Rhinolophus ferrumequinum: one gene and its partners. The protein of the gene in region 1 interacts with the protein of each later gene in a pairwise test. Links are inferred from orthologs where the notes say so. Each region holds a gene or a part of one and is shown in the gene's direction. Other genes may lie near its edges.

What was found. The genes of interacting proteins can lie anywhere in the genome.
Region 2: the proteins of ARAF (region 1) and RRAS interact in a two-hybrid assay, tested with the Homo sapiens proteins (2 studies listed by BioGRID). The link is inferred for Rhinolophus ferrumequinum from reciprocal best matches to the Homo sapiens genes ARAF and RRAS.
Region 3: the proteins of ARAF (region 1) and TIMM44 interact in binary tests that used the Homo sapiens proteins (3 or more experiments, as listed by UniProt). The link is inferred for Rhinolophus ferrumequinum from reciprocal best matches to the Homo sapiens genes ARAF and TIMM44.

What each region holds. Positions count from the first base shown.
Region 1 is NC_046284.1:86,427,598-86,435,011, reverse strand, and holds the start of ARAF (serine/threonine-protein kinase A-Raf), read left to right. Parts: upstream 1-4,397; 5' UTR 4,398-4,489; intron 4,490-5,810; 5' UTR 5,811-5,869; coding exon 5,870-5,965; intron 5,966-6,121; coding exon 6,122-6,225; intron 6,226-6,989; coding exon 6,990-7,092; intron 7,093-7,182; coding exon 7,183-7,337; intron 7,338-7,414. UniProt on the Homo sapiens protein: Involved in the transduction of mitogenic signals from the cell membrane to the nucleus. May also regulate the TOR signaling cascade. Phosphorylates PFKFB2.
Region 2 is NC_046298.1:44,726,010-44,733,575, reverse strand, and holds the start of RRAS (ras-related protein R-Ras), read left to right. Parts: upstream 1-4,550; 5' UTR 4,551-4,595; coding exon 4,596-4,748; intron 4,749-6,748; coding exon 6,749-6,836; intron 6,837-6,923; coding exon 6,924-7,026; intron 7,027-7,106; coding exon 7,107-7,215; intron 7,216-7,566. Other genes in the region: SCAF1 (splicing factor, arginine/serine-rich 19), read right to left, coding at 134-247, 347-379. UniProt on the Homo sapiens protein: GTP-binding protein with GTPase activity, likely involved in the regulation of MAPK signaling pathway and thereby controlling multiple cellular processes. Regulates the organization of the actin cytoskeleton.
Region 3 is NC_046301.1:56,910,638-56,917,811, reverse strand, and holds the start of TIMM44 (mitochondrial import inner membrane translocase subunit TIM44), read left to right. Parts: upstream 1-4,158; 5' UTR 4,159-4,254; coding exon 4,255-4,299; intron 4,300-6,060; coding exon 6,061-6,162; intron 6,163-7,174. UniProt on the Homo sapiens protein: Essential component of the PAM complex, a complex required for the translocation of transit peptide-containing proteins from the inner membrane into the mitochondrial matrix in an ATP-dependent manner.

The sequences.
Region 1 (7,414 bases):
CCCACGTCCTCTGCGTAGCTATTGGTCTGCCAGTGGCTCCTCGGAGTCTCAAAGTCCAGTCTCTTCTCGTTCTAAATGCTAGGGTGAAGTAGAGCCTATCAATGCCCGTGGCATCCCAAAGCCCGCCCTCCACTGCATCGCTATTGGGTGACCTCGCTGCCTGTCCGGGGCCTGGAACACTGAATGTCTCACTCCAAACCGCAGCGGGGGCCTAGCGGAGCGGATAGTTGAGGCTTCTCAGTTGGGCCAGTGAGGCACTCAGTTTTGTCTCGGTCTGTGCGTGGTCATCTCTCCCGACACGGGTAGCTAGCGGAGCGGGAGGCTGTGCGATGGGCTGTCGGACGTGGCGTTCTGCAGGCGGCGGCAGGGAGAGCGAGGGTGGTGAAGTTGGGAAATGGGAGTGGCTGGTTTAGAGAGCCTCAGGCACGCTGGACTGCTGGGGCGGAGCCAAGATTCCTTACAGAGGGGCGTGCCCCTGGCCTACACCCTTGTTCAAACACTTTTTACCAAACTTGAAATGCTGGAGTTCTCTCTCCTCTGTCCTTCCGGTTAGGGCAGCCTGAACCTCAATTGGATCAACTGTGAAATGGGTAGGGTTACAACAGTGGTTGGTGAACACTTCAGATTTTGTATGTTTTTCAGACATATTTCAAAGAATTGAAAATCAACAATTATAAAAACCAACAACCATTTTAAAATCTTTTAAAATTTCTAGGTGGATAATTTCGAGGGGAATGTCAGAAAAAACAATCAGCTAGTTCAGGTTTTAATTTTTGTTTTAATATATGGTGCGCTTGATGGTTTTTAATGTGATGATGATGATGATGATAAAAACCCAAGTCACTTTAAAGGCCTTCATGACTTGTTAAGTACCTGTGAAGTACTTGGCTGAAGTCGTGCCAGTTGGGATGGGTTTGGAGTGAGTCCCTAAGGGAGAAAGCTTTGTCCTTGAGTGAGCCATGACCCTCTTCCATCCTCCATCCCTCCTTTCTGGCACAGCATGTCGAATTTTGCTTACCTTTTTGTAAATGTTGTGCAACGGAGCCAGAAGTCTGTCTTCAAATACTGCCTAGAAATTAAAGTTCTAAAATAAATTAAATAATATTCAAATGAAATGAAATTTAAAATGCACTCCCCACCCCTGACATTATTCTTCCTTTTGGAGAGCGTTTTGGAGCCCCTCACTGAGCTCCAACAGGAGTTGTTTCTGACCCCATGTGGTGCCAGGGCTGCACCACTGGGAGATGGGGATGCCGGCTCTAGGGCTTCGAATCAGAAAAGAGAATTAAAAAAAAAACAACTCTAATCACTAAGAATTTGTAAGAATTCAACATGTTTAAAATTATGTTTGAAGCCCCCTTTTTTGCCATGCTCTTTTAAATTGAGGTATATTTTACATACAATAAAGTGTACCCATTTTCAGTATAGAGTTTGATGAATTTTGATAAATGAATACTGAACTGTCCAGTCACCTCCAAAAGTTCCTTCATGCCCTTCTCAGTCATTCTCCCACAAGACAACTACTCTGCTTTCCTTCACTATAGATTAATTTTGCCTGGCTTAGATGTTCATACAGATGGAATAATACAGTATTTATCTTTTGTGTCTGGCTTCTTTCACTCGATCTTATGTCTGTAAGATAGACACATGAAGTAGTTTGTTGCCTTTCATTGCTGAGTAGTGTGAAAAGTAATATAAATGGAGCCACTTTAAAATGGAGTCAGAGCTGCTATCCCAGAGGAACTGCCTTGCACATCTTCCGCCTCAAACCTATGGGATGCATAAACTGGGCAAAATAACCTTTGGACTGGACCTAAAGCAGCATGGAATCCCCAAAAAACTGTTTGCAAAGATAACAAGAAAGCAGATAATATGACTAATGGACTGAAAAGTTCAAAACATTCTTTAGCACTAGCATCACTGTTAGCTTATTCTCACTTACAGAAATGCCTTCCTTCTATTGATGTAATTGTTCCCCATCGCTTTCTCATAAATACTTCTTGCCTTGCCTCCTAATGGGAACACTATTTGGGTTTCTGCCTGAATCAGTGCTTTCCAAATAGCTCTTCTTTGGATCTCAAATAAATGCTCATTGCCTCTCACTTTGGCCTTCTAATTTTAGGTTAACAGTAGTATTCCAGGATCCCATTTTTGTGTTTCTTGGTCAATTCTTTTGTTGCTGGACACCTGGTCTGTTTGCAGTTTTTTTTTTTGCTATTATGAATAAAGCTAATATGAATATTGGAGTATAAATTTTTGTGTGGGTACATTGCAGTAGCATGCTGTGGCTGGCTCACCAGAGCCAATTTTGCAAATCTCAACTCTGGTTCAATGGTGTCATATTAGTAGCTTGAAATAAGCCATGGTGGGAGTGTTTATGTCTTAGTTGGCAAACACTACAAATTAGAGCTTTTTTCCTGGACAGCTGGTTGTTAAACAGTTATGAGCACGCCATTGGACATGTTTTCATTTCTCTGGAGTAAATACTGAGAAATGAGACTGCTAGATTGCATGGTATGTATATGTCTAACTTTACATGAAGATGCCAAACTGTTTCCAAAGTGGTTGTACCATTCTACACTCCCAATGGCAATGCATGAAAGTTCCTATTGCTCCACATTCTCATAAATATGCGGTATTTATTCCGTCTTTTTCATTTTAGCCATTGAATGGTGAAGATCCTAATAGAAAAGAAACGATGGGAAATAGAGGTTATATGACAGCCTAGTAAGCAGAACTTTTGTCTCTCTCCTTATAGGCAGAGAAAGCACTTAATAAATACAAGTTGAAGTATGTTGAGGCCCCCTCACCTAATGACCTTTCTCTGATCCTTCCCACTTCATCAGAGGGATGCTGAGGCTCCAAACAGGAGAATGTAGTCACTTCAAACAACAGGCTGTTCAAAAAATTAAAAGTGAAATCTCGTGCCAACCGGTGAATCCTCCCCACAGAGGTAGAAAAGAATTAAATAGTTATACAGTAGTACCTCGGTTTTCAAACGTCTCTGTTGACGAACATTTCGATTTACAAATGCCATAAACCCGGAAGTAAATGCTTCGGTTTTCGAACACATCAAACATGTCACGCGGCTTCCTCTGAGTGCAGGATCCCGACACCTCGCTGTCGGCTCTTTACGAACGTTTCAGAACTCGAAGGGTCTTCCAGAACGGATTACATTAGAAAACCGAGGTAGCACTGTATTATCAAAAAGTGTTAAACCAGACTGCAATGTGCATCACAAGCAATTCGCTAAAGAGATTGCAAGGACAGTAAAACCTCATCCTTTAAATGGCTGGGGAGATACAAGCCATTACATACTTGTTCTCAAGAAAGGCAATAACTTGTCCTTAAGTAAGAGAACTTGACAGTACCTTTTGCTACACAGTTCATCTCAAATTCACCTGGTAACTGGGGTAGCCATCTGTCTTTATCCAAAGAAAAAAAATAAAACACCTATCTCTTTGACAAGCAGCTAACAACTTGGCGCCAGACGCCTAGGTCAAATTCCTACCTGACGGAGAAGGGGCGCTATCTTTGTTGATGTTTGCATTTCAAAGAGATGACTCCAAGGCCCCTAAGAACAACATCCTTGGGTTGTAAAACTGGCAGGAAGCCTATTTAGCTTGTAAAAAGATTTACATACATCTCGAGGGGACAAAAAAATTTACAAGTTTTCTAAAGGAAATGCTCTAAGAAAAGGGAGGGTGGAAAGTCTCTTTCACTTTTGACACCAGGTAAAAGTCATCTTCTAAAAAATTGTAATTACCCCTCAATTCCTCCATACATTTCCCTGCACTTGTGCCCCATTCCAGGTCCACACTTCCCTCCCCTCTTCACCTGGCCATCTATGACTAGCCTTACAAAATCCTTATCAACCCCATTCCTAAAGGACAGCTCTCAGAACAGCAGGCCACTCTTCCTAGTTCCAGACCCCCAGGCCGGCCACACTAGAGACCCGCTGTTATCTAAGGCTAGGACTTCAGTTTTTCAGAATTGGAAAACGTTGCTGATATTTGGTCTGATTCCAACCCATTTCAAAGACGGTAAAACGGAGACCCAGGAAACTCCCAAACGGCTACTTAGGCCTCCGGGTCACTGGAACAAAAAGGGGCATTTAAGGATTCTCCGCCCAGATTCAGGAAGCCCTAAAGTCAGACCCAACTGACCGAAAAAAAGCCCCACTTTATTCTGCCACGGTACGATTGGGTTAAAGCCCCTGGCACGCAGGTCTCTTGACTGCGCCTGCGCGACTCAGGACGTGCGAATTTGCCCCAGACCCAGACGTTTCAAGCAGCCCCTCCTAATCCGGAACAAGACCCACATTCCGCCTATCCTGCCTTGATAGGCGTGACCCTAATCCAATAAGGATAGAGGGCTGAGTCCTGTGGAGCCAATGGCGAAAGTCCGAGGGGCGGTGGAGGCGGACTCTATGAGGAAACAAGAAGACAGGCCCAAGATGGAGGCGGCTGCGGCCGTTGCAGCTTGACAGGTGAGGGCGGGCCCCGCAGGGTTAGGTTTCTGGAGCGACCGCCGGGCATGGGCAAGGAGCCGGGACCGAAAGCTTAGCTCCAGGGTGGCTGCGCCTGGGCCCCGGCGCCCCCTGCCCGGAACCGGAGGAGTGGTTTGACCCGGGGCGAGACCATCGGACAGCGGGGGGTAGTGGTGGGTAGACAGGAATAGGGGTGCAAGGCTGCGGGGGGATGGTTTCGCCCGTCGCGTGTGGTAGCACGCCTGCGCAGAGTTGGAAGGCACTCAGTAGGCGGGGCAGGGCTGAATTGGGCCTGGGCTGTGGTGTGTTGTTCCCAGATCCCCTGTAAACCTTCTTAAGGTATCTGATGACCCTTCTTTACCAACAGTGGGGAATGCATGGGGACGCGGCTCACTACTCGCTTGCTTCTTCTGGATCAGTGTCTGACCCACTAGGAGAATGTTTGAGGATTACCCCCTTACTCCTCCTTAACCCTCACCAGCCTCCTTCCATTATCACCAGAAATATGTCTGTCACCCCTTAGTTGTCAGCGAGAATTTTGGAGCCTCCCTGCTTTACCTCTATTCATCTCACCTCAACAATGACTAATGATTCACCATTACCCTCCTTTTCCCCATGACAGTGTCCGGTGACCACCTTATCCATTCTTCTCCCCATTACAGTCTCTAGTGACCTCTATTACATCTTCCTTCAGCATAATGTCTGCTGAGCCTTGTGATCTCCCGTCACAGTCTGGTGACTCCCATTAGCCACCTAACAGTGTTTGTGAGCCTGCCGTCATGGCAGGCCAGGGCTTAGGTAGGGATGCCCACAGTACCCTTAAGAACACTCTTTGGTGCAATTCCCATTTTCCCCAAACGAAGGGCAATAGCTGATGATCTTCCATTCATTCCCCTTCACTCTGTCTGTGACTCCTCCCTCAGCATAGTATCTGGTAACCCCCTTCTCCATTAAAAAGCCGGGACACTGTTCGTGTCCATTATGTACCTGACACACCCCAGTGCACCGTGTGCTGACTTCCCCATTAGCCCCCAGCACAGACTTTTGTACTCCTGTTCCCTCCAGGACAGTGTGTGCTGTCTCTCGTTGTGTCGTCCCACCCCCACCTGGCCCCATGCAGTGAATCCGAGATCTTGGCTGGGCTGAGCAGAGGAGGAACTGGATCGGCTTCAAAGTGTTAACAGGCTCCCTTGGGCTGCTGTGTGGAAATTAGGCTACTGGGCGTGACGTGGAGCCTGGAGGTTGAAATTCTTTTTGTTTCCTGCCACTGTGCTTCCAGACTATCATTACTGGACCTCTGAATTCCTCCTCTGTCTTCTAGGAGCCCCATGGCACCTGCCCAGCCCCGCCTCAGCCCATCTTGACAAAGTCCTAGGCTCCATGGAGCCACCACGGGGCCCCCCTGCCAACGGGGCCGAGCCGTCCCGGGCAGTGGGCACTGTCAAAGTGTACCTGCCCAACAAGCAACGCACAGTAGTGAGTCTGAAGGGAGCAAACCTGGTAGGGGTGTGGATGGACCCAGTTGTAAATCTTGGGTCAAAAGGGTAACTAGGGCTGGGAGGAGGCTTTGGCCGAGGGGTGGGAGAGTTAGTTGGGGCCCCTGTTGGGCACTGATCCCCCACATCTGCACAGGTGACTGTCCGGGATGGCATGAGTGTCTACGACTCTTTAGACAAGGCCCTGAAGGTGCGGGGTCTCAATCAGGATTGCTGCGTGGTCTACCGGCTCATCAAGGGGTAAGTGTGGCATACACCTCGTCCTCTGCCCACTGGGTGCCCAGCCTCCCAACTCCTCCTCAGCGTCATCCGACTCCTTCACTCTGTTGTGGAGTCTCCGTTAGTCTTGCCTTACTTAGTTCAGTGAATTTGTGAGTCCATCCAGCTTTTGTTTCGTTACTTCGTTAGTTCATTGGCCTGTCAGGTCAACATCTCACTCTCTCTTTGACCCCCAAGTCTTCACCCTGCTCCATCACCTCCTTCCAGAGTTCATCTCTTTTGTTCTTTCACTTTTTCATCAATTTGTTGGCTCTGTCCTACCTCCATTTTCCCATTATCTGTCTGCTGAGTTGGGCCTTCCATTTATTCTTCTGTTCTGAGGTTCCTTAATTTTTTTATTCAATTCACACATTGCTATGTATTTGTTGTTTTAATGCCTCATCGGCTGTTTTTTCTGGGGCTTCCTTAGCACTTCTGAGATTTAGTTGTTTAGTCACCATCTCATTTGCTTCTCACCTTGTGGTTAAGAGCATGGCCTCTTCACACTGTCCTGCTACTCATAGTCCCTTGTGGCTTTGGGCAAGTCACTTTATCCTTCTGAGCCTTAGCTTCCTTATCTGTAAAATGGGGGTAAGGATAATAACTAGTTCCTAGGGTTGCCGTGATGGGAATGAAACATGGTAGATATTGCTCCGTGGATGCAGACTTGGAGGTACCTTTAGGGGTTCCCTGCCTCCCCGAGGCCCTGTCCACCCTCCCACTCACTCCTTTCATACCTCCTGCAGGCGAAAGACAGTCACTTCCTGGGACACTGCCATTGCCCCCCTGGATGGCGAGGAGCTCATTGTGGAGGTCCTTGAAGATGTCCCACTGACCATGCACAATTTTGTGAGTGCAGGGGGGATAGTGGGTGCAGACCCTGGGCGTGGGGGGAGGGTCCTTGACCAGGCCTCACCCTTCCCTGCTTTGTGGTAGCAGGTACGGAAGACGTTCTTCAGCCTGGCGTTTTGTGACTTCTGCCTTAAGTTTCTCTTCCATGGCTTCCGCTGCCAAACCTGTGGCTACAAGTTCCACCAGCATTGTTCCTCCAAGGTCCCCACAGTCTGTGTAGACATGAGTACCAACCGCCGACAGTGAGCCTGGCCTGGGGTGGATGGGGGGATGGGGAGGACAGATGCCCAGCCACAAGGTTCTTACAGAGAGCTCACCC
Region 2 (7,566 bases), on another chromosome or scaffold:
CAAACTCAAACCCTTCAGAGGAGCCAAGAGTGCAGGCTCCCAGCCCCGCCTCCCCCGAAGGCCCAGGAGTCGGGCCCTGGAATCCAGACTCCCAGCCCCTCCTCCCTTGGCCCCAGATGTCTAGCAGCCTCACCAGGATAAAGGCAGTAGGAGAAAGCGTAGGGTCTCTGTCCGGGGGACCATCGCCCCGATCTTCACCCGACTCCTCTGTTTTCCCTCGAGACTCATCTTCTTCCTCCATGGTCACCTGGAAGTTGAGGGGGTGAGTTTGGAGTTCAGACAAACAGGGCTGTGGGGTGGGGTGTGGGGTGTGGAGGGGACAGAAGCAGAGGACGAACACAAAGACCTCAAAGGCCTCCACCATTGCCTCAATCAGCATCCTCTTCAGTGTCCCTCCTCTCCGCCACTCATCCCGGTCCTTGGGAGGGTACTGGGTCCAATGCAGATACCAGAGGGACTAGAGCGATTCTCTCCCCTGGTCTGGATTTCAGCTGCCTCCTCTGTTGGAAGGGAGGCCCTCCCAGCCTATTTCAACACCCCACCCCCCAGTTCCCACCGTTTCCCCCACAACCAAACTTAAGACCTCACTGGCCCACTTTCATGGGAGCCAACACAATGCCAAGATTTTTTTCTGTTGAGTTGTGATTTCAAATAGTGTGCTCCATAGTCTCATACACCTAGCTTTCCCAAACTGAGGTATGCGCCAGTGTGCTGGGTGTATCTCAAATATGACACAACTTCCTAAAGCATCAATCTTCCTCGATGGTGAGGAACGAGAAACAATTTATTTATATATACAATAGAAAGTGGACCCATGATAACGTGATTTACAAAACCAACATGCCACTTTTGAAATGAAAACACTAATTTCAGAAAGGTGTGCTGCTCACCAGAACCCCTGGGGACATCTGCCTATGTCCTGTCTGCCCATTGTGTGGAAGCATGGCTAAAGCCTTTACGATATCACAAAAATTCATAGATTATACTAAAGTTGAAAGGTCATCCTTCAGATTGGGGGTTGTCTTAATTGGGCTTCAAACAACAGGAATATTTCAGCTGTGGGATTGCCAGCGACCATCAAATCTGCTACTCTGAAACAATATCCAGTCTCAAAGTTTCTAGAAAGCTTCAAATCCCTAACCCCCAACTCAGTGTGCTTATCTGTATGTGGCAGAATTGGAGTATCTACCTCAGAGGAAGGCTGCGAGAAATTGAAAGGAGACACTTCTGCCACAGTGTTAGCATAACCCAGTACTCAATACAGAGTAATAATAATAATCGTTATTAGTCTTTAGGGCCCAGGTTTCCCCCCCCGTCTCCCCAACTTCCCCAGCTGTATACCTGCAAAGAAAAGTCCTCTGTCCTGGTCTCCCTTGGACCAGATGTTCAAGCTTTGCCAAAGTTCCTCCATGCAGCCTCCCAGCTCTCTAAGAGCCTGAGGTTCCTTCCCTAACTCGCATTGACACCCACCCTGATAAGGCCCTAAGGACAGTTCCAGCCCTGGAGCTGCTCACCAGCACCTGGGGGCAGGGTGGGGGTAGAAAGCGCAAATTACAGTGACTGTCACATAACAGAAGCTTAACCAAGGTCTGACTACAAACACACAGATCCCAAACCCTCAGCAGGTATGAAGATGCTCCCTTGCCCACGCAGACATGCCCCAGGCTCTGCAGATACACCCAAGGCTCCTTGGGTCTTTTCCATATGAGAAGGCCCTGCAGACATTGCTAGATCTCTCTAGATCAGTCATTCTCAAACTACAGAGTCTGACAGCAGTATATTGCTTCACAAATAGCTTGTTATAAAAAGTAAATCAGATGCTGAAAATTATTCATAATACATCGCAAGTAGTAAGTGGAAATATCAATTAATGGGACATGGGTATTAACTTAAATACATGTCGGTGGGTACTGGGCCTCAATGAAAAATGTATATTTTCTTGCTATAGATCAAGGTCAAAAGAGCTTAAAAAGCATTGTACTAGATGATTCTATAAACTTTCCCAGACTAATGTAAGCTAATTCGAACTCTTGCCATAACACCAGGGCAACACAAAATTTTAAAATATTTTTCATCTCAATTACCTTCTAAAGTGCAAATACACTTGAGCTCAGCAAATTTTCCAATACTCTCCTTTGTCTTATTCTCCATCTGATTATATGGCCCCAAACGGCATTCGAATTTGCTGCAGGCACACTCAAAGCCACCTAGATGATTTCAGGTCCTTTTAACTGCCCCAGCCCCCTGTCACCCAGATTAAACACCTCCCAGATGATGGAGACCTCTCAGCACATCTCAATATTTGCCTCCCTCCCTTGGTGAGCACATCCCACCTCTAAAAGACTTTCTAACCCAGGAAGTTCTTTCAGGCCCGCTAAACGGCCCCGGACCCAGGTAGCTGAGTGGCATCCTCACGTCAGCCCATGTAGACACTTCCCAGCCCCAACAAACATACCCCAGGCGCTATAGATGGCTCTGCAGAAACTCCTCAGCTCTTGCAAACCTCCTTCACCCCTGGGATATATCTCAAGATCTCAGGTTGGCCCCAGAACCCTATGAACAGACCCTAGCCTCCGGTCAACCCATAAAGACGATCAACAGTGCCTACAGAGATGACCCAAGCCGGCTATATGATGGAGGGCAGGCGCCAGCTTCGGTCCAGACCCTGTGGACGTTCCCAGTTCTCCCGGGGATGCTCCGTAGGTGGCCCCCGGCACCCAGAGACACGTCCCAGGGCCTTGAGAAGGCCCCCCGTTCGGCGCCAGGTTCCGCCGCCGCTGCCGGGCCAGAGGCCACCCCGCTAAGTCCTCCAGACCCTGTGGCGTGTTGGAGAGGACCCCAGGACTACTAGCGACCCGACTCCGCCCCGCCCACCCCAATAGGCCTGAGCCCCGCGGTCCGGACCACCGCCGCCATCTTACCCCGCCGCTCGGGCTGCGGCTCCGGCCCCGGCGCGGGGCGGGGCGGGCTGGGGCGGGGGGTTCGCTAGCGGAGGGAGGAGAGGGGCGGAGCTAAAACGCCGCCGAGCTTGCCGGGACTTCAAGTACCGAGCACGGTGCCGTGAAGGCTGGTGGGAAGGCTCCGGACTCAGTTTCCCAGAAGTCAACGGGCCACACGGGCAGGGGTGCGCCGGGAGGCGTAGTCCGCGCGTCGCCTCCGTCACGCGGGCGCAGCAAGGAGGTGAGAGGTGAAGTGGGCGTGGTTGCAGTAGCCCGCGATGAGGCCCCACAATTCCATGCGTACGCGCGGAAAGAGCTGCGGAACAGGACGTGACGTAAAGAGCACTCAGCCGGACAGATGCAAGGGAATTGTAGTTCCGCGGAGTAAGTAGTGGAAAAAAAAAGCTGTCCTGCCTGGGAATTGTCCCGCCCACATTGTGGGGATCCCAGAATCCCGATCCCCCCCAGTCCCCTCTAAATTTAGAACCAAGAAGCCCTGCCCCACAGCCTCCTTCATTTAGGTCCGAAAAGTCCAAATTCCGATTCCTCTCACTTGGCAGAGGAGTCCAGACTCCCATTTCCCTCCTCCTTCCTTATATCCAGGAGTTGGGCCCTCAGGCTTTTCCTCCCTCAGACCATTTCTGGTCTTAAGCTCGTACTTTACATGAACACAAGTGTTCGGGTTCCCCACACCAATTCCCTCGAGATCCAGAATTCTGGGTTCCCAGAGCCTCGAACCCCGGGACCCAAGAATCTGGACTTCCAGCTCCCTCCTTTACGAAACGGGTAGTCCTAATAGTAAGGACCCCCAGATCTCCTCCCCTCCGGGATACGGAACTCCAGGTCTCCAGACCAGTTCTCTCCTACGGAGTTTCCTTCTTCAAAGATCCAGAAATCCTGGCTCTAGGCCCTTCATGACCCAGGCGTCCCGGCTTGGGCGAGCTGGCTCATGGATTAGGAATGCAGTGATCTCACGGCCCCTCCCTGCCCCGTTACCCGGCTGTCCCCCTCCAGGGCCCCAACTCCCCTCCCAGTCTGTCTTCCGCTTGGCTGGGACTGCGGCAACCGGAAGCCTGGGTCCCTTAGCGGGCGGAGACTCCAACATCCAGCCCAAACGCCCGGGTCGGCAGTTTGGCTCAGATCCCAGGACGGAGGTGGAGCTTCCCCTCAGGACCTGCTCACTTCCTCGGAGCGCGCCTATATACGGCCGCGCGCGAGTCGGCGAGCCCCGCCTACTAGAACAAGGCCTTGGGGAAAGTGCCCTGAGAAGCTGCTTCACAGGATTCTTCATTTGCATATCCCCTCCCCGAATAATCTTCCCGACCTGTCTGCCGAAAGAATGAGCTCTTATTAGCATAGCCACGCCCCCAAACGGCCCGCCTGCCCAGAGCGCGTGGAGCAGCTCTGGGTAAGCACAGTTCTCTCATTAGCATATCCCCACCCCTTTCGGAATTCCCCTTAGTGGCGAACGTCGTTCCCCTGCCTTTATTAGCATAGCTCCTCCTTTTCCCTGGCCTTACCTCCTCAAGTGTTCCGAGACTTGTGCCCTTCTTGCCGGAGCTCATGATTATGCAGTAGCCTTATTAGCGTGGCCCGCCCCTAGGCCCCGCCCGGCTCCCCCCAGGCGGTAGCGGCGGCGGCGGCAGCGGTGGCGACATGAGCAGCGGGGCGGCGTCCGGGACGGGGCGGGGGCGGCCCCGGGGCGGGGGGCCGGGACCTGGGGACCCCCCACCCAGCGAGACACACAAGCTGGTGGTCGTGGGCGGCGGCGGCGTGGGCAAGAGTGCGCTGACCATCCAGTTCATCCAGGTAGTGGGCCCTCACCCGGGGGGTGTCCCCGGGACCCAGAACGTAGCCCTTGGGGGGGATCCCTGAGACCCCGATTTCCCCCTCCATCCATCACTGAGACCCTCCTATGAGGCCCTCTAATCTTAAAAATTCCCCTCAGATCGTGACCCTGAGCGCCCCAGGACCTCCACCCCCTACATGAGGGACCTTCCTCCTATACTCATCCTGAGACCCACCGTCCCTCCTGCCAGAACCCCCCTTCCCTGCTGACCTGACCCAGATCACCTCCTGGGAGCATCCTAAATCCATGTCACCACATTCTGACCTTAAACACTCTCGTGTGTCCGCCCGTAGGTGCCACTTTCCCTCACCCTGAGTCCCATCTCCCCCAAATCCTAGGCTCCAGCTTCCCTTCTGAGCCACCCAGAGCCTAACTTAGGAGAAAGCCTGTGCCCAAAGCCCTTGAGATGATTCCAGTCTGGATGCTTAGCTCCTTCAGAGACCTCCCTGAATCTAGAAATTATGCCCAGACTGTTCCTGAGGCCAATCTGGGACCACTCTAAAAGAGGCACCCTCAGACCCTAGGAGAGTTCAAATAGATCCTGCCAGTTGGCTCTTCCAGAGAACTGTAAGACCCCCAAGTCTTGTGGCTCCCCCATCCTACCAGACCCAGACCTCTACCCTCCCCCAAGGAAAACCAACCACTCCTCCATCTTGAGTTCTCCTCCATTCCAACTCTCTGAGCCCCTCTCAGAAACTCTGGTTAGCCCCCAAATCTCCATGGAAGAAGCCCCCAGATTCTTGATATCCCCAGAAAGATCCACTCCTTGGGAGTGTCTCTGACCCCATAAATGCCTGTCAGGGTCTCTAAGACTCTAGACACACCTGACCTTCTCCTGAGGTGCTCTGAATACACACCCCTAATTCCCCCAGGGCCTGGTCCCTACACCCTCCCTCCAGCACAAGCCTCAACAAGCACACCTCCAGAAGACTGGATGCAGCCCTCAGACCCCCAACTACCATATCTCCCCTTCTCCACTTAAAATCCACCCCTGCCCAGGAAACCTCCACCCCATTCCCAAGGGGAACACCCTCCCACCTCAGAGAAACCCTAGAAAGGTGTCTGCTCCTGAGACGCTACTGCAGAGGCCCTTGGGTCCCAGACCCATTAAGAGACCCCAGCCAGGCCTGCATGGCAGCCCTTGTCTGTGTAGAGAAAGGCCCCCCGTCCCTAGGCCCCTGTCCCTAGGGGCAGACCTGAAGCTGTCCAAAGGCCTGGCTGGAGGCGGGCGGGACGCAGGAAGGGAGGGGCCCAGCCTTAGGGCGGGGCAGTTTCTCCACAGTTGGATTGGAATTGGGACCTTCCCCTGGGAGGAGACACTAAAAGCCGCCCAAGGAGGGGGGGGGGGAAGGAGGAGGGGGAAAAAAGAGGGAAGAGAAAAGGGGGGAGGGAGAGAAGTAGACAGGCAGATAGTCTGGTTCCCAGTAACTGAGCGAATACTATGTCCAGGGAATGTGTTAAATGCGTAGATGTCAAATGGATTTTTCCCTGAATCTCACAAACACTGGATTAAGTGTAGTGCTATATTTACCCTCATTTTCCAAATGAGGAAACAGGTCCAAGAGAGGGGAAGCGATTTGTTCAATGCCACACATCCAGGACATAATAACGATTTGGGAGATATACTTTATACCAGAGAGGACCAGGAGAGCCTTAGGGACGCGGCTGGGGGGAGGGGGCGGGACAGAGAGCCAGAGAGAGAGATTCAGGTTCAGAGAGGATGGGCAGAGAAAGGTGGACCCCAGGGGCAGGGCTATGCCATTTCTGCTGGAGATATACTTTATACCAGAGAGGACCAGGAGAGCCTTAGGGACGCGGCTGGGGGGAGGGGGCGGGACAGAGAGCCAGAGAGAGAGATTCAGGTTCAGAGAGGATGGGCAGAGAAAGGTGGACCCCAGGGGCAGGGCTATGCCATTTCTGCTGGGGCACTACAGTAAGTGTCCTCTCCTCACCCTACCAGTCCTACTTCGTGTCTGACTACGACCCCACCATCGAAGACTCCTACACAAAGATCTGCACCGTGGATGGCATCCCCGCCCGGCTGGACAGTGAGGGTGGCAGGGAGTGGGTGGGGGAGGGTGGGGGTGTCTAGGGAGATCTCGGTCCCCACAGCAGCCCTCTCCCCCCCTCTGCAGTCCTGGACACTGCGGGTCAGGAGGAGTTCGGCGCCATGCGGGAGCAGTACATGCGCGCTGGGCACGGTTTCCTGCTAGTGTTTGCCATTAACGACCGGCAGAGGTGAGAGGAGCCGGGAGGTGGCAAAGCAGTGGGGACCGCGGCTGAGCTGCTGAACCTCACGCCTCTCGCTTCATCTGCAGTTTCAATGAGGTGAGCAAGCTCTTCACGCAGATCCTCCGAGTCAAGGACCGCGACGACTTCCCCATCGTGCTGGTCGGGAACAAGGCAGATCTCGAAACACAACGTCAGGTCTGGGACCGCCGGGGACCCCATCTCAGCCTGGGAGGCTGCTTCCTTCCAGTGCACCGCCTGCCTCTCTTCATATCAGCATCCTCCTCTGGCTCTTGCAGTCCTGCTCCCTTTATTGTCACACACCTCACTAGATGTGTTGCCACCAAGTCAGACCTTCTGGGTCAATTGGCCCTGACTGCCCCATCCCCGCCCCTTGTTCCCACCTGGACCCTTGCGCCATCCGCCTGTTTCTCCCTTCCAGTCAGTTTCCCACTGGGTACCCGCTGCCCCGGCCCCTTCCTCTGCTCCCAGCCCTCTATGGCTCCCCAGCACCGCTGGGAGAAAACCTCAGCTCTTCCACCGGGGGCT
Region 3 (7,174 bases), on another chromosome or scaffold:
CAGGTTATGTCCCGATAAACCCATCATAAATTAAGGATGCCGCAAGTGGAAAACGCATCTGATACACTCACCTACCGAACACCACAGGTAGCCCAGCCTCCGTAAAAGTGCTCAGACACTGCTGGGCACAGTTGTCTCACTGCTGCCACTGCTCAGCGTCATGGGAGAGTATCGCACTGCCTGTCGCTAGCCCGGGAAAAGATCCAAATTCCAAATTCGAAGTACGGTTTCTACTAAATGTGTATGGCTTTCGCACCATTGTAAAGTCGAAAAATCCTAAGTTGGACCATCATAAGTTGAGAACCATCTGTGTATATTTTTATACATATTTGTTTGTTTGGATATATATATATAAATATATATATAGCCATATAATATATATAATATATAATATATATAGTGCACTATATATATATAGTACCAAAAAATGTGTACACATTTTAAGAAAGGAAAACTGTATTAAAATTGTAATACTCAATATATGTATACCAATAACAGAGATGAATACAAGTCACGTTTGACTTCTGCAATTACAAGAGGTGCTCGAAGTGGTTACCATCAGTGTAATTTTAATATAGTTTTTTCCTTTCTTAAAATGTGTATACATTTTTTGACACCCCCTGTATGTATGTATGTATGTATGTATGTATGTATACACACATACACAGGCACACATGCATGCAGTCTGACAATTAAGTTCGCAAACTTGTTGCAATGATGTGACTAACCTTTTTTGATATCAGAGGGATTATTCATTATGAATTTGAACCAACTAGATAAACAGTTAACCAAGTTTACTATTGGAAGTGCTGAAAAGGCTGCGCAGAAAAGTTAGACAACCTGAACTTTTCGCCAACAATTTATGGCTCTTGCATCACGACAATGCACCAGTTCACGGCACTGTCTGTGAGGGAGTTTTTAGCCAGGAAACAAATAACTGTATTGGAACACCCTCCCTACTCACTTGATCTGGCCCCCAATGACTTCTTTCTTTACTCAAAGATAAAGGAAACATTGCAAGGAAGACATTTTGATGACATTCAGGACATCAAGGGTAATACGACGACAGCTCTGATGGCCATTCCAGAAAAAGAGTTCCAAAATTGCTTTGAAGGGTGGACCAGGCGAAGCGTCCGTGCACAGCTTCCCAAGAGGAGGACTTGGAAGGTGGCCGTAGTGATATTCAGCAATGAGGTGTGGAGCACTTTTTCTAGGATGAGTTCAGACCTCGTATGTATATTAGAGAGAGAATGCTACAGCAAGTGAGGCAAAATGAATCTACATGAAGAGTATATAAGTTTTGATTATAGTATTCTTGCAACTTTTTTGCAGCTTTGAAGCTTTTCAAAATAAAAAGTTGATGGGCCGGCCTGGCGGCTCAGGCGGTTAGAGCTCCATGCTCCTAACTCCGAAGGCTGCCAGTTCGATTCCCACATGGGCCAGTGGGCTCTCAACCACAAGGTTGCCAGTTCAATTTCTTGACTCCCTCAAGGGATGGTGGGCTCTGCCCCCTGCAACTAAGATTGAACACGGCACCTTGAGCTGAGCTGCTGCTGAGCTCCCGGATGGCTCAGTTGGTTGGAGCGCGTCCTCTCAACCACAAGGTTGCCGGTTTGACTCCCGCAAGGGATGGTGGGCTGCGCCCCCTGCAACTAGCAACAGCAACTGGACCTGGAGCTGAGCTGCGCCCGACACAACTAAGACTGAAAGGACAACAACTTGAAGCTGAACGGCACCCTCCACAACTAAGATTGAAAGGACAACAACTTGACTTGGAAAACAGGCCTGGAAGTACACACTGTTCCCCAATAAAGTCCTGTTCCCCTTCCCCAATAAAATCTTTAAAAATAAATAAATAAATAAATAAAAATAAAAAGTTGGGAAAAACAAACAATCAAACCACCCTCACTCTTCCACACTTGTTTCTCCAAGCTGTCGTCATTCACCTTTCGCTCACAGCAGATATTCCTCAGAGGAGTCTCTGGGCACTCCCTCTATGTGCTGATTAATTGTTTAATAACTGTCCCTCCAAACAAACCAAAAAGCTCCTGACCTATAGTGTTTGTCAATTCCTGTGGTGTAAATACTCCCACTATGGCCAATTTCAAACTACTGATGTGGTGTCTTTAAACACAGACTCAGTATGCAGTGCAGCAGCTCATATCATATAGTATTTCCAGAGCACAGATGTGATATATGTGAATAACCTCAGCAGCACAGATAGTAACATGTAGTAAAATAATTAGGAAGTGTTGAGTTTTGAGTATTTATTACCTTTGTCTTAATATAATCCATTTGATCATAAGGTTATACAATCCATTTTTAAATAATGGCTGTGTTTAGCAACTGGCTCAAAATTCCTAAAAATTTGACAGTTGGCTTTCACCAGCCAGTACACACTGGCTCCAACACACCCCTGTAAAAAAAAAAATCTCAACCCACTGAAATCTGACTTCCACAGACACCATTCAACCCAAACCCTCTTGCTTGTCCCCCCAAGCCCTCAATATTGTAAAATGCAAAAATGACGGATACAGTTCTGGCCTCACCTGTCTTGCCTGAGCCCTCTGCAGCATTCAACACTGATTACTCCATCGCCTTCTCCAAGGCCCTCCAGGTTCTCTTCCTACCTGTTGACCAGTCCTGTCCAGTCTCCTTTAAAGGCTCTTCATCCTCAACTTTACCTTTGGGCCTTTGATGTGCCTGTTTGACACATTCTTCTTGGGTGCCCTTGTCCACCTCCATGGTCCCAACTGATAGGTCGGCCGATAAAGGACCGTGTATGGTCAGGCACGTTAAGAAAGTTTATTAAGAGAAAGTCTGTCGGGCTGAGCAAAGATGGCTATAGCCCAGGCTGCCTGTCTAAAGGAGATTTGTAGCCCCAAGGGAGGGGGTGAGGAGGGTTATGTAGGGGCGGTGCTGACAGGGTAGCATTGTTTGAGCAGAAAATGCTCACTGCCTGTAAGCCAGTAGCTGGTTTGTGGCGTTTTCTGTTATCGCAAGTTTGGCTCTGTCTGCAGGTGCAGGCTAACAGATATTTTGTTGTTTTCTTGCAGACATGGCTCTGTCTGCAAGTGAAGGTGTCTGAGACCTAACATTCAGAGACCTAACATTAAGTCAAGGTCTCTAACATTCAGAGACCTAACACCAACTACAACTAAGAAGCCCAGACTTTCTTCTCAACAACAAACCTGTATATCCCAACCATGTAACTAGTTTGCTCCTCTTGGAGTGAAGGGATTTCAAACAAAGCCAGAGTAGAGCCTTCATGCCTTGCTCCTACCTTGAGGTGAATCTCCTGAGGGACAGAAAACGCAGATCTATCCAACCCTGAAGCCAGAATGTGTAGGTTACCTCTTTCAAGTCCCATAGACCTTATCACAACTTAATAATGCAAATGCTTCCATTGGGCAAACACAACATACATACATTAACTCTCCCAAGGGACCACCCCTCCCTCTTCCCAGCCTCCGATAGCGTGGCCACGTCAAGGTACCGCCACTTGGTGGCGGCATTCTCTAAATGGAAAATAGTACTTGGGTGCTGAAAGGACAGAGGCCCGAGATTCTTCAGGGCAAGGTATGTTAATTCGCACTGAATCGATGGAGGGGTGGCCCACACTCAACCTGGTCTCAGCGTCCCCTTCCTGTTCTGGACCAAAACCATCAGGCGCCTTCCCAAAGTGTACAAAAGAGCTCACTCGCTCTTGCTCTTGGAGCAACACAGTTGCCCGTCTGTCGGTCATTGTCAGTCTGTCACTGTCAGTGAGAGCTAGAGTCAATCACGATCGGGCTGGTTCGCTGGTCAATGAGTCAGAATCCAACTGAATCCGTACTTGTGATAGGTCGTTCGGCCTGCTCGTCCTTCCCGCCACCAGAAAGAACCGCGCGTGTTCTGTAGGGGAAGCACTGCTCGCGAGGGAATCCACGCCCTCAGGCTCCGCCCCTCTGTAGTAGTATCCAATTTTAGGTCTCTACCTCACAGGAGTTCGAGTCAGAGGTCCGCTCTTCCAAAATCCTGTCCTATCAGAGGCCTAGCTCTCTAGGAATTCCCCGCCCCCTAATCAGGCCCCGCCCCTATAGCAGACCGCCCCAAGGCCCTGCCTCCCTGGGGAGTTCTGTCCAATCAGAGGCCTTTTCTCTCCTCAACCGGGTGCCGCGGTCCCGCTTTTCCCAGGCCCCTGGCGCTCGGCGGAGACGCGAAGGATGACGCCATCGGGCCGCGCCGAAAGAAGGTCACACGGGATCCTCCAACATGGCGGCAGCGGCGCTGCGGGGAGGCTGGTGCCGCTGCCCGCGGGTGAGCGGACCTGTGGGGCCGGGGTGCCAAGGGGGAGTTGGGAGGGTGACCGGCCTAGGGACCTCTGGGCCCGCGACCTCCAGGGCTTTCTCCTCACGCCTTTGGCCCCCTCGGCCCTGCCCTGCGCTCGGCGAGAGGCTTGGGGTTGGCTCGTTGAGTCAGCTGAGGCTGGGGCAGGCGACCCGGAGCGAGGCCTGAGCGCCGACGCCGAGCGTGCCGGGCAGGGGCGGTATTGCGTGGGGCTGGGCAGGGAGCGGATCGGCGTCCCTCGCCTCCTGGTGAGACCCCACGTGCACCGCGGAGTGAAGGGTGGCCTTGGCGCCCAGTGGAGAAAAAGTACCGAGAAGGCAAAAAACCGTGACAGGCATGGCTCACGTTTATATGCCAGGGCCTCTGTCGAGAGCATTTCCTGCATTGCCTCTCCTGTACGTCTGTGTGAAAGTGCGGGAGGTAACTCTGGCTCTTGCTAAGGGCTGGGCTCAGAGGGACGGTGGGAGTCAAGGCGTGTAAAGCTCACGCAGAACGTAGTACTTTATGTTGCTGCTGCGGCCGCTATTTCACAGGTTAGGAAATGAGACAACCTTTTCAAGCAACCTGCCCATAGTCTCAGAGTTAGTGGGGTGGCTGACTCCAGAGCCAGACTCTGGAGGAAGGGAAATATTTCATTGGAATCTGAGTGTCGGGAGAAAGAAGGTGTCTTTGATCCTGGATTGATTTTTTTTCTTGGCTGCCTGTCTTTTGAGTCACGGTTTAGAGGTTGAATTTACACGTTTTTGGATTTGGACAACACCAAGGGGGAGTTACCCTCAGGTTTGGTTCTGCTATGGAATTTCTCTCCCAAGTTAGACAGCCATCTCCTTCCATTTCAGACTGTTACTGAAGTCAGTGGCTCCAATGGGTGTAGGCATTTAGAGAAGTAAAACAAGTTGTTTAAACGCCCAAGAGTTACACTTGAGTAGCTGTAGGAGATGGTGGTATCTGTGTAAGTTTGGGATGTTGCCTAGGGTTTCTGGAGACAGGAAGCATGGAATGCAGAGGAATGGCCCAGGGAATGTGGAAATGGAAGAGTGGTTCTATCAGGTTTTTGACATCAAGGCGTCTGGCTCCGTGCTGGATGCTAGAGTGCAGCATTGAACAGGACCTGCACAGGCCCTTCTTTCATGGAGCTTCAGTTCATTATTTGGTAGAAGAAATGCCGTTCACATGAGGTTGGCAACATCTTTGCCCCAGTGACTCCCTAAGTGGCCGTGCTTGCAGCCCAACCCTAGACCAGGACATGGTAGGTTTATTCCAGGGTTGTGCCTAGGACAAAAAGTTATCAATGTTTACCTCTGAAAGCCCAGGTCTCTGGTCTTACAAGGCCAGCAGAAGTGGGGTGGGCTTATGAGAGAAGACTGCTTGCCCCTGGCATCGAGGATCAGCCTGCCCATTTTCAGACTAAGGGATTAAATTAAGCTGACACATTTAGCCTTCTTCCACAATAGGTTACCATTTCCTGGGACGCATCTGGTATCCCCCAGCTTCAGAGGGAGGAGGGTAGGTATAGGCCCTGGAGGTAGAGATTCCATGTTTTATCTTTCCACCAAATTCCACTGGCTTCTCAGAACTTGGGAAGATTGTAGAGCGTCTAGCATGTGGCAGGCATGCAATAAAAATGGGCAAATGAGACTAAAGCAACCCCTGCTTTTTTAGTGTGGCCTATACTTATTTTCTAGTCACCCTCTCATCAGAATGGATCTTTCTCTTTTCTCCCCCAATTAGAGATGCCTCGGCAGTGGAGTCCAGTTTCTATCCAGCCACAACCTAGTGCCACTACCGCAGGGTACCTATCAGCTACGCCGGCCGGGTGGAGAGCTGCCCCTGGTGAGTAACTCAGGACACGAACTAGCAGACGAAAGGTGGGAGGCCTGAAAAATCAGACCTCGTTGACAGGAGACAGGGCTGCAGGATGTTGCCCATATTGCCAGTGGCATCTCACTGGCAGGCATCCCATATCCAAGGCCTGCAGAGTTACAGTGCCCAATGTGCCTGGTCCTCTCTGCATCCTGGAAGTGCTCAGCGTTGTTAGAGACAGGGTCTCTGCCTCACAAAGTAGCTCGTTATGTCAGCCCCAGTGATTAGAAGGGCATCTCCTGTACTGAGCTGAAATCCACGTCCCCATGTCCTTCACCAAACAAAGCTGTTTTCTTTTCTGGGTGACAGCCCTATAGGCATTTAAGCAGAGTCACCCCTCATAGCCTGGGCCTCAGTTTCCCCAGGCTACATCTCCCCCATCTTTTATGTTCCTCACAGGTAGCATTTTTCTAGAGCTGTTGCCCTCCCCATCACTCCTCTTAACCATACTTCTGTTGGTACCAGCACAGACAGGAAAGCCCTAAACCTGACACTCTTCCCTAATCTGCATTGGGCAGCCCTCGCTCTCCCTTCCCAGTCTCATCTCATCTATTTCCCTGCAGGCAGCTAGTTACCTGCGCCTGCCTCACTCAGCTTTACCTCCCTGATCTCTCCTGGGGTTGTTCCAGGTATGGGGCAGGCCCTGTGGTCGTTCCCCTTTATTGTCCAGTCTCTCCCCCCCCACCTCGAGTTTGTAGCCCGAGTGAGTGACAGGGCTGCTGCACGGCAGTAGGGTCCCTGACAGTCTTCAACTTGGACTCCCCTGGAGAGAAAAGCTGGCCAGGCCTGGCCGCCCCTCCCGTGGAGCAGCACCTGGGCTTGGCGCAGCTCTCCCTGGGGCTTGACAGGGTCGAGGGAGGCAGTCACCCCTGAAACCAGTAAAATGAGCCCCCAGCCACAGCGGCATACCCAGCACACCCTGGGGGAAGCGGTGGTTGCAGCTGAGCACACGCAGCCGCCTGCCAGTGACTTGACTCTGTCA